2 linked regions of the Canis lupus familiaris genome follow. The protein of the gene in region 1 purifies or fractionates together with the protein of each later gene. This does not show direct contact. Links are inferred from orthologs where the notes say so. Each region holds a gene or a part of one and is shown in the gene's direction. Other genes may lie near its edges.

The links.
Region 2: the proteins of GIPC1 (region 1) and SH3BP4 purify together in Homo sapiens (affinity purification with mass spectrometry; 4 studies listed by BioGRID and IntAct, with this or other methods). This does not show direct contact. The link is inferred for Canis lupus familiaris from reciprocal best matches to the Homo sapiens genes GIPC1 and SH3BP4.

The regions. Positions count from the first base shown.
Region 1 is NC_049241.1:48,542,621-48,546,529, forward strand, and holds the start of GIPC1 (PDZ domain-containing protein GIPC1), read left to right. Parts: upstream 1-1,511; 5' UTR 1,512-1,605; intron 1,606-2,109; 5' UTR 2,110-2,164; intron 2,165-3,807; exon of another isoform or gene 3,808-3,856; 5' UTR 3,857-3,909. UniProt on the Homo sapiens protein: May be involved in G protein-linked signaling.
Region 2 is NC_049246.1:46,410,217-46,414,125, forward strand, and holds the end of SH3BP4 (SH3 domain-binding protein 4), read left to right. Parts: intron 1-502; coding exon 503-691; intron 692-1,730; coding exon 1,731-1,955; 3' UTR 1,956-3,900; downstream 3,901-3,909. UniProt on the Homo sapiens protein: May function in transferrin receptor internalization at the plasma membrane through a cargo-specific control of clathrin-mediated endocytosis.

The DNA.
Region 1 (3,909 bases):
GACAATAGCGGTGCCTGTTGCATCAACAGTGGCAGCGTTTGCCAGCTGGGTGGGGCCAGACTCGCAGCCCTCAGCAGCTAAGCCGGCCCCGCTCTCCTCTTTCAGTTTGCCTCTCTGTAGGCCCCGGTGGGGCTGGGATGCACAACAGCTCACCCTGGGGACTGCAGAGACCCAGTCATTCAATGAAGCCTGAGCAGAATTGCAGCTGTTAGAGGCCTCCAAGAACTACAATTCCCAGAACACACAGCAAGCTCCTGGTCCAGCCCCAACTGCCCCAGAGGCTGGCTTTGAAGTAGAGCAAGGATAGCTCATCTGTCCTGGGAACTGAGCATCCTGGTCTGTACAAGGTGCATCTGTGTCTTTGTTTCTTGGACCTACCCTTGCCTGAGACATCCCAGTCTCGGGGCCTCACCAAACCTGGTGATGGCGAGGTCACCTGGTCCTCTCATTCACACAAGTGCTCTGAGAGGCTGCTCACTGCCAGTCTCAGGACCCCAGCAGGGGTGAGGGGGCACTTAGATGGAGGAGACAGCCTCATGAAAGGGCAGAGGCTCGGAATGGTTGGGGACCCTTTACAACCTAGCACATATTATGTGTTCAGTAAATATTCACTGATTTAACCAACAAGCGAGCAGTCCATCTCGATCTTGTCTTCCTTCCATGCACCCTTTCACACAGTTTTGCTAGCTCCTAGGATATTGCACTCTCCCAAAATGTGTTGTATCTCTCAGTCCAGCTTTCAGGCCTTCTGCACGAGCTGTTACCTCCACCAGAAGCACATTCAGCTTATTCGCTTTAGTAGCTGCAGACGTAGGACAGAGCCTGGCACGGAGCAGGGGCACATGAAATATTTGACGAGTGAGGGAATGAATGAATGAATGAATAAATGCCCTTGTCCATTGTACACCCCAGGAAGCAGGGACACTCGGGACCCTCCCTATTCATCTCGCTCCTCCGCCCGCTCGCCCGCCCGGAATGAATGCATCCTTTTTATCCGCTCACAGGATGGCCAGGCTGGGGCAGGCGCAGACAGGGAGGAGGACTGGGATCGGGGGCTGCCCTCGGCCCCTTCCTAGGTCTCCTAAAGGGTCAGCTCTTCCGGACGTGGCGAGTTAGCCTCTGCCCGAAACTCGGCCCGCGTCACCTGACTCCCACGACCGGCCCTCCCGCTCCTTACCACCCTGGACACCCCAGACGGACACTCCGCCGGCAGCACGTGGGCCAGGGACCCCAGCTCCCCATTGGTTGCTCGCCTCCTTCCTTCCCCGCGATTGGCAGGGGCCCAGCCTCAGGTCCCCCCTCCGCGCCCTGCGGTGGTACAGCCTGCCGCGGCTTTCGGCAGGGTGGGCAGGTCCACTGCGCCGCGGCGCGGGGGGGCCGGGAGGAGCCGGGCGAGGCGGAGGGATCCCTCTGGAATGCTTCCGTCGGGCCCACCCGGCGCTGGGCGGCGCGGCGCGGATTGGCCACGGGCGTCGGGCGGCCGCTCCTGATTGGCGCGCTGCGGGCGCTGGCCCCGCCCCCCGGCCGCGGCTGCGGGAGAGGCCCGGGCCGGAGTTTGCGGAGGGCCGAGCCCGGAGCGCGCGGGTGGCGGCGGCGGCGGCGCAGGTGAGTGTCCCTGCGGGCGGGGCACGGCCGCTCCGGGGACCCCAGCGCGGGCCCGCGGGGTCGCGGACCCATGGGGATCCGGCGGATCGAGCGAGTAGCGGGGGGACGGCCCCGGGGTCGCTGCTGGAGGTCTAGGTTGGGCCCCAGGATGCCTGAGGCCCCTTCCCCCGGAGGCGCCCATCTTCCCGCCGGGGGCCGGGGTCAAACACCTCCCGCCTCTGAGATGGGGTCGGCAGCCCACCCTGCCCCCTGCACTGCCCTGGACAGCCCCGTCCCGGCGGGCTCGGCATTTCTGAGTCCTGCCCGGGCACCTCCCTCGTCCCACCTTGGCCTCGACGCGGCCCTCCAGGGCCGAGAGAGGGACCTGGAGAGGACTGAGGTCCCGGTAATAATCATGAAAAAATCACCCCCGGCTAGCACTGACTGGACGCTTCCGTGTCAGGTATTTACCATGCACATCGTTGCGTCCAAACACCTCATGGAAGGTGCTGTTACTTCTTTTAGAGGTGAAGCAACAGACCCGGAGAAGTGGAGTGACTTGCCCAAGGTGACACAGCTAGTAAGTGGCAGGGCTGGAACTCGAACCCGTGCTTCGGAGTCCAGAACTGGAGTCTCAGCCGCTAGACTAGATGGCTCCATGGATCAGTGGCCCAGTGGCTCCGTGGCTCAGGTGTTCCCGACCAGCTCCTCTGCCCGCTGCTGCCTGCATCCCCCAACCATGCATGTATCTGGGCCACACCTGCTGGTCTTTGCTTCCCCCCAAGAGGTCCCCGGACACCAACCCTGTCTTGCCTCCCCGGACCTGGGAAGGCTTGCCTGAATACCTAGGTCCTAAGAAGAGAGTGACATCTGCAGGGGACATAGGAGGCCTGGATGCTGGGGTCCTTTGCCCACTGGGCCCCTCTGGAAAGCCTGCGCTGAGGCCCAGGCAGTAGGCGTTCTCCCCGGAAACACCCGGGAGCCGGTTTTTCAAGACTGAATCAGAGGCCTCCCGCCTCCCTGCCTCCCGCCTCCCGCCCTCCCCTCCAAAGCAGTATCCTACTAGAAAGGGGAGGTTGGGTGTGGTGTCTCTCCCCCCACCCAAGCTTTTGTCAACTCCCAGGAACTCCCCTCCCCACTTCCTGCTGCCCTCACTGTGATTCTGCTTGGTGGTGGGGTTGCTAAGTTTCAGGCCCCTCCCAGGGAAGCGAGGGTGGGGATGCTAGGATTCCAGCCAATGCGCTTGGACCCCCGGCTGACACTTTTTCCACCATCCCTATGTTCAGGTTTGAGGGGACACTGGGAATGTGGGGAGGAAGTGTCAGTTAGCAACCCCACAGCAGGCATGTTCTGAGGATAGGAGGGCTCAGAGAGGAGTCTGAATGAGGACACGAGGCACGCACACCCGTCCATTCTGCAAACATTTACTGAGCACCTCCCATGGGCCAAGCACTGTCCTTGGCACAGAGGGCATAATAGCAAACAAGACAAAAATCCCTGCTCTGTGGGAGCCGCCGTCCTAGTGGGGAAAAGGGCAGCAAGCAAGTTAACAAGTAGATAAAGACAGTACCCGCGGATGGTAGTAAGTGCGTGTGCTATGAATAAAATATGAGGGGGGTGGCCGGGTGGAATCTGTGGTAAAGGGGGTGGCTTTTGGAGGAGGCGACTTTGGAGACAAGATCTAAATGACAGAAAGAAGGTGGCCCAGCAAAGGTCAGGCAGGGGGCCCAGCCTGGGCAAAAACTCTGAGGCTGGATGGAGCTTGGGATAGTGTGTGGGGGCACGAGCTGCCGCCAGAGTGGCAGTTCTGCAGGGGCCTGTGGCTCATATTAAGGAGTTTGGGGCTTTTCCTCTGTAAAGGTAGGAGACCGCTGTAAGATTGGAAGCCGGGGAGTGACGTGATCTGGTTTACATTTTAAAATAGAGACACGAAGTGAAATAGCAGCCTGGGACTGAAAGACAAGAGTTCTGCCGGGATAATGTGTAATTAAGTTCATGGGCCTTGAGCTGTCTGGACCACAGGGGCAGTTCCAGCAGGCTGGGGCAAGCCAGGGAGGCTGCCTGGAGGAGGCCACCTAGACTAGGCCTCCGCGGACAGCAGACAGCAGAAGCACAGACTGGGATGTTCCTGGGCGGTGGGGGGGGGGGGGGTGGGGTGGGCAGGGGAGGAGGCCATAATAATAATGACAATACTAGTAACAGTTTTCTTAAATTGAATGTCAGGCAAAATGCTAATCGGGTTGTCTGCACAATCTCTTTGGATTCCCATAAGCACCTGGAGAGAGACAGGAATTCCACCCATTTTTCGACTGAGAAAACTGAGGC
Region 2 (3,909 bases), on another chromosome or scaffold:
AGCAGAGGCGTGTTCGCGGGCCTGCTTCCTCCTCTGGAAGGCACGGTCTGGGCCAGGCCTTGCCTCTGGCTCCTGGTTCCTCCGACAGTCCCTGACGCTACTTGTCTTGGGGCCTCCTCACCTCCACCTCTGCCCCTGTCCTTGTGTGGACTTCTTCCCTCTGTCTCTGTCTCCCTCCTTATAAAGACCACCAGGCACGGGATGAGGTGCTGCCCTAACCCACCAGGACAGGTGGCTTTAACTAAGGACACCTGCAAACACCCTATTTCCAAATACAGTCGTTCTGACTTTGCAGGTGGACGTGAATTTGGGGAGAGAGCGCAGTCGAACCCAGTCCACCCTGCAAAAATCATTGCTCTCCCTCCATCCTGTGGGCCTCGGCCATGCTGGGGCCCAAGGGGCACATTTCTAGGCCTCTGAACTTTGGAGGTAAAGCGTGTGTGGCCTCTGAAAGCAGAGCCTGCCCTCTGACCTGCCTCGTGCTCTGCTCCTTCCTCCCCAGGCCTTACTGAAGATGGACTGCCAGGGCCTGGTGGTCAGACTCATCCAGGACTTTGTGCTCCTGACCACGGCGGTGGAGGTGGCGCAGCGCTGGCGGGAGCTGGCCGAGAAGCTCGCCAAGGTGTCCAAGCAGCAGATGGACGCCTACGAGTCTCCGCACCGGGACAGGAACGGGGTCGTGGACAGTGAGGTGAGCCTGGGCTGTGGAATTCAGTCACGACTGTGTCTGCTTTCCAGCGTGTCGACGGGGGTGAGGTTGAGAAAGTGTGCATCCAGCACGTGGTGGGCTCCCCCGGGTGGGGCGCGGCTCCTCCTCCTCAAGGCCACTGGCTGGGAGTCCGGCCCTGCCGCTGACAAGGCCGCTGGGCATGAGGTGTCCGCAGAACCGCCCACCCCTGATTGTCCCGTTCTTAAGTGACCATCCGTCAGACAGAGCAGAGTGCCAAGGGAGCCCTTGGTGGCCACTCCTGCTCGGTCACTGGCCAGGTCTGTGTTGGTGACATTCCAGGGCTCTGTTGGGTAACGTTGGCTGGAGCCGGTTGGGTTCCTCCTCAGAGATTCTTTGTCTTCTCTCTTGTTGGCGAGGGTGGCCGGAAGCTTCTGGAAAGCTGGGTTTGGCCTGAGATTCCTAGGAAGGAGGATGTCCCAGAATAAGGGCGTCCTTTATTAGCACAGTGAATTTCTAAAGAAATGGCCCGCCTAGAAAATGCAGCAGGGATTATTAGGTATTTTCCTTTTTTTTTCATGATATTATTTATTATATATTTATATATATTTAAATATATATTTCATGATATATTTATTTATTAATGAGAGGCAGAGACATAGGCAGAGGGAGGAGCGGATTCCCTGTGGGGATCCTGATGTAGGATTTGATCCCAGGACCCCGGGATCATGACCTGAGCTGAAGGCAGACGCTCAACCACTGAGCCACCCAGGCAGCCCGCAGCAGGGATTGTAAGGAGAGAAGCCCTTCGTGTTTGCTCAGACACTCTCTCCTGCCTTCCTGCGCTCGCACAAAACACGTTCTTCCCTCAGAAACGTGCTGGCTCTGGACAGAGTCGGTTCCACCTGTTTCTCTGGGTTTGTTCCACTCTCCAATGAGAAACATAAATAATGAGCAAAGGGATTGGAGTTAATAGGATCGAATAATAGGATCACATCTCTTACTGTTCCCTCATCTTTTCTTCCCCCTCCCTCCTTTTCTTTGGGATGACTCCACCATCCAGGCCATGTGGAAACCCGCCTATGACTTTTTGTTAACCTGGAGCCACCAGATCGGGGACAGCTACCGGGACGTCATCCAGGAGCTACACATAGGCCTGGACAAGATGAAGAACCCCATCACCAAGCGCTGGAAACACCTCACTGGGACTCTGATCCTTGTGAACTCGCTGGACATTCTGAGAGCAGCTGCCTTCAGCCCAGTGGACCACGACGACTTTGTGATTTGAGCGGGTACATGCCCACCCGCTGCTGCTCCGGGGCACCCGCCCTCCGCCTGTCCTGGAGGCCCGTGTGGTCACCTGGCGCATGGTCACCTGGAGCTGGGGAGGGAGGAAGGGCCGGCTGCTCTGACACATCTGGGCTTCCTCGAGGCTGGACCCACACCCAAGGACCAAGCACACACAATGCTCCACGGTCCTCCTCCATCACGGGGGGGCCTGAAGGGAATTTCTACTGCAGGTTGTTGCCAATCAGATAGCTTTCTATTTGTTAGGTATAAATTTAAATTTAAAAGTCACTTTTTTTAAAGTATGAGGGGAGGCATATGAGAAGGGTGGTATCTAATTTTTTTAATGGACCATAAAGGTTAAAAAAAAAAAAAAAAGAAACCCACCTTAATAGGGGCGGATGCTGTTGAGGTTTTTATGTTATATAAAGACCTTTTTAAATTATGTTACAGATGTATATATGTATTTAAAGGTCACTGGGGGCATTTGTGATTCCCAGCCACCCTTTGCATTTCAACACTTAGCACGGAGAGACGCTTGTTCAAGTGTTGGACCTCTTTTGCTCTCTACTTGTATAAAGGGTAAATCAAATAGGAACATGGTTTTTCAGTAGATGAGTCCAGCTCTTGTCCATCCTTTCTGAGAATGTCCCAGGTCCTGCTGTCCCTTTTCACCTGCATTCTTTTCTGTACCTCCGCCTCATGTTACAGTAACCGGTCAGCGAGAGCACATGCAAGCCTTCTCTGAGCTTTATTTGGCAAAGTAAAATCCTACACGAGCAAGCAGGTGCCCTTGAGATGAAAAGACAGCTGGGAGCTGGCATTCTTGGTGGCCCCCACCAGCATGCAGGTTGTTCAAGAAAACTGTGCCATTTGCAGTGTGGTAGTCCCTGCAGGCTTCAGCCACCGCCGGTCCTGTTTCTTCGTGGGGGCACAGGAGAAGAGAGCTCAGGGCTCTCCTCCCTGTGGCCACTAGGGAGACTTCACCACGAGGGGTGCCCTGCGCTAATGTGTGTGCAGCAGTGCCTGCCGCCACTGGCCAACTCTCCACTTCATTCTATATGAAATCCACCTCTCTCCCTTTCTGGTCATACCCACGTGTCCTAGGAAATAATAGCAGAGGGGACTCCATCTTTTTTAATGTACAATATAAAGGTTTTCTGAGCAGGATGGACGTTTTCTAAAATAACGTTCCCCAACCTAAAGCCAGGGATTTGCCAGAGCATTGCATTGATGACCTCTATGGTTGTAGATCGGCTTGGCTGTGTGTGGGCACGCAGTGTTGGCTTCCACGATCGCACTGTGGTTGCGGCAGCTCCGAGGGGAGGAAGGGGCAGGATTGAAGAATAATTATTTGGCAAATCAAGAGTTGATTCCCGGGAATGTGCCGGGACATGCAGTGGGCTTGTGCGAAGTGATTTGTGGGCCATTGGGATTCGCGGACCTCATGCTCGAAATCTGCTGTCTTGAAACATGTTATGTTAATTACTTACTGTAATCAATGTATGATCCCTGTTGGGCTGGAACATTCTTATATATCTATTGATTCAGATCCTGAAGACCAACCAGCTAGGGAAAAAAAAAAAATCAACAGAGAAAAACACTACTTTTTTTTTTTTTTATGCTGCAAGAACCAGGACACGCAATTCCCCAATCATCACACGAAATAACCTTAAATTCTGCTTCTCGTTTCCACCTTCATTCTTTCCAGAGATCATCTCTCACCTTCTCCCCAAAGAAGAAACAAAACCAGTTGCACCTTAAACCATGGATATTTTTCCTCAGGGGCTTTAAATAGTTTCCTATGCAACATGTCTTGTAGCACAAATTAAATTCTACAAAAGTTGCAGTAAATTTTATTTGGATATTTTAACCTATTAAGTGTGCGTGTGTTTTTCTGTACCCAACGAAACTTTAAATAAAACAAATAAAACCTAGTTTAAGTATCTGTGCAT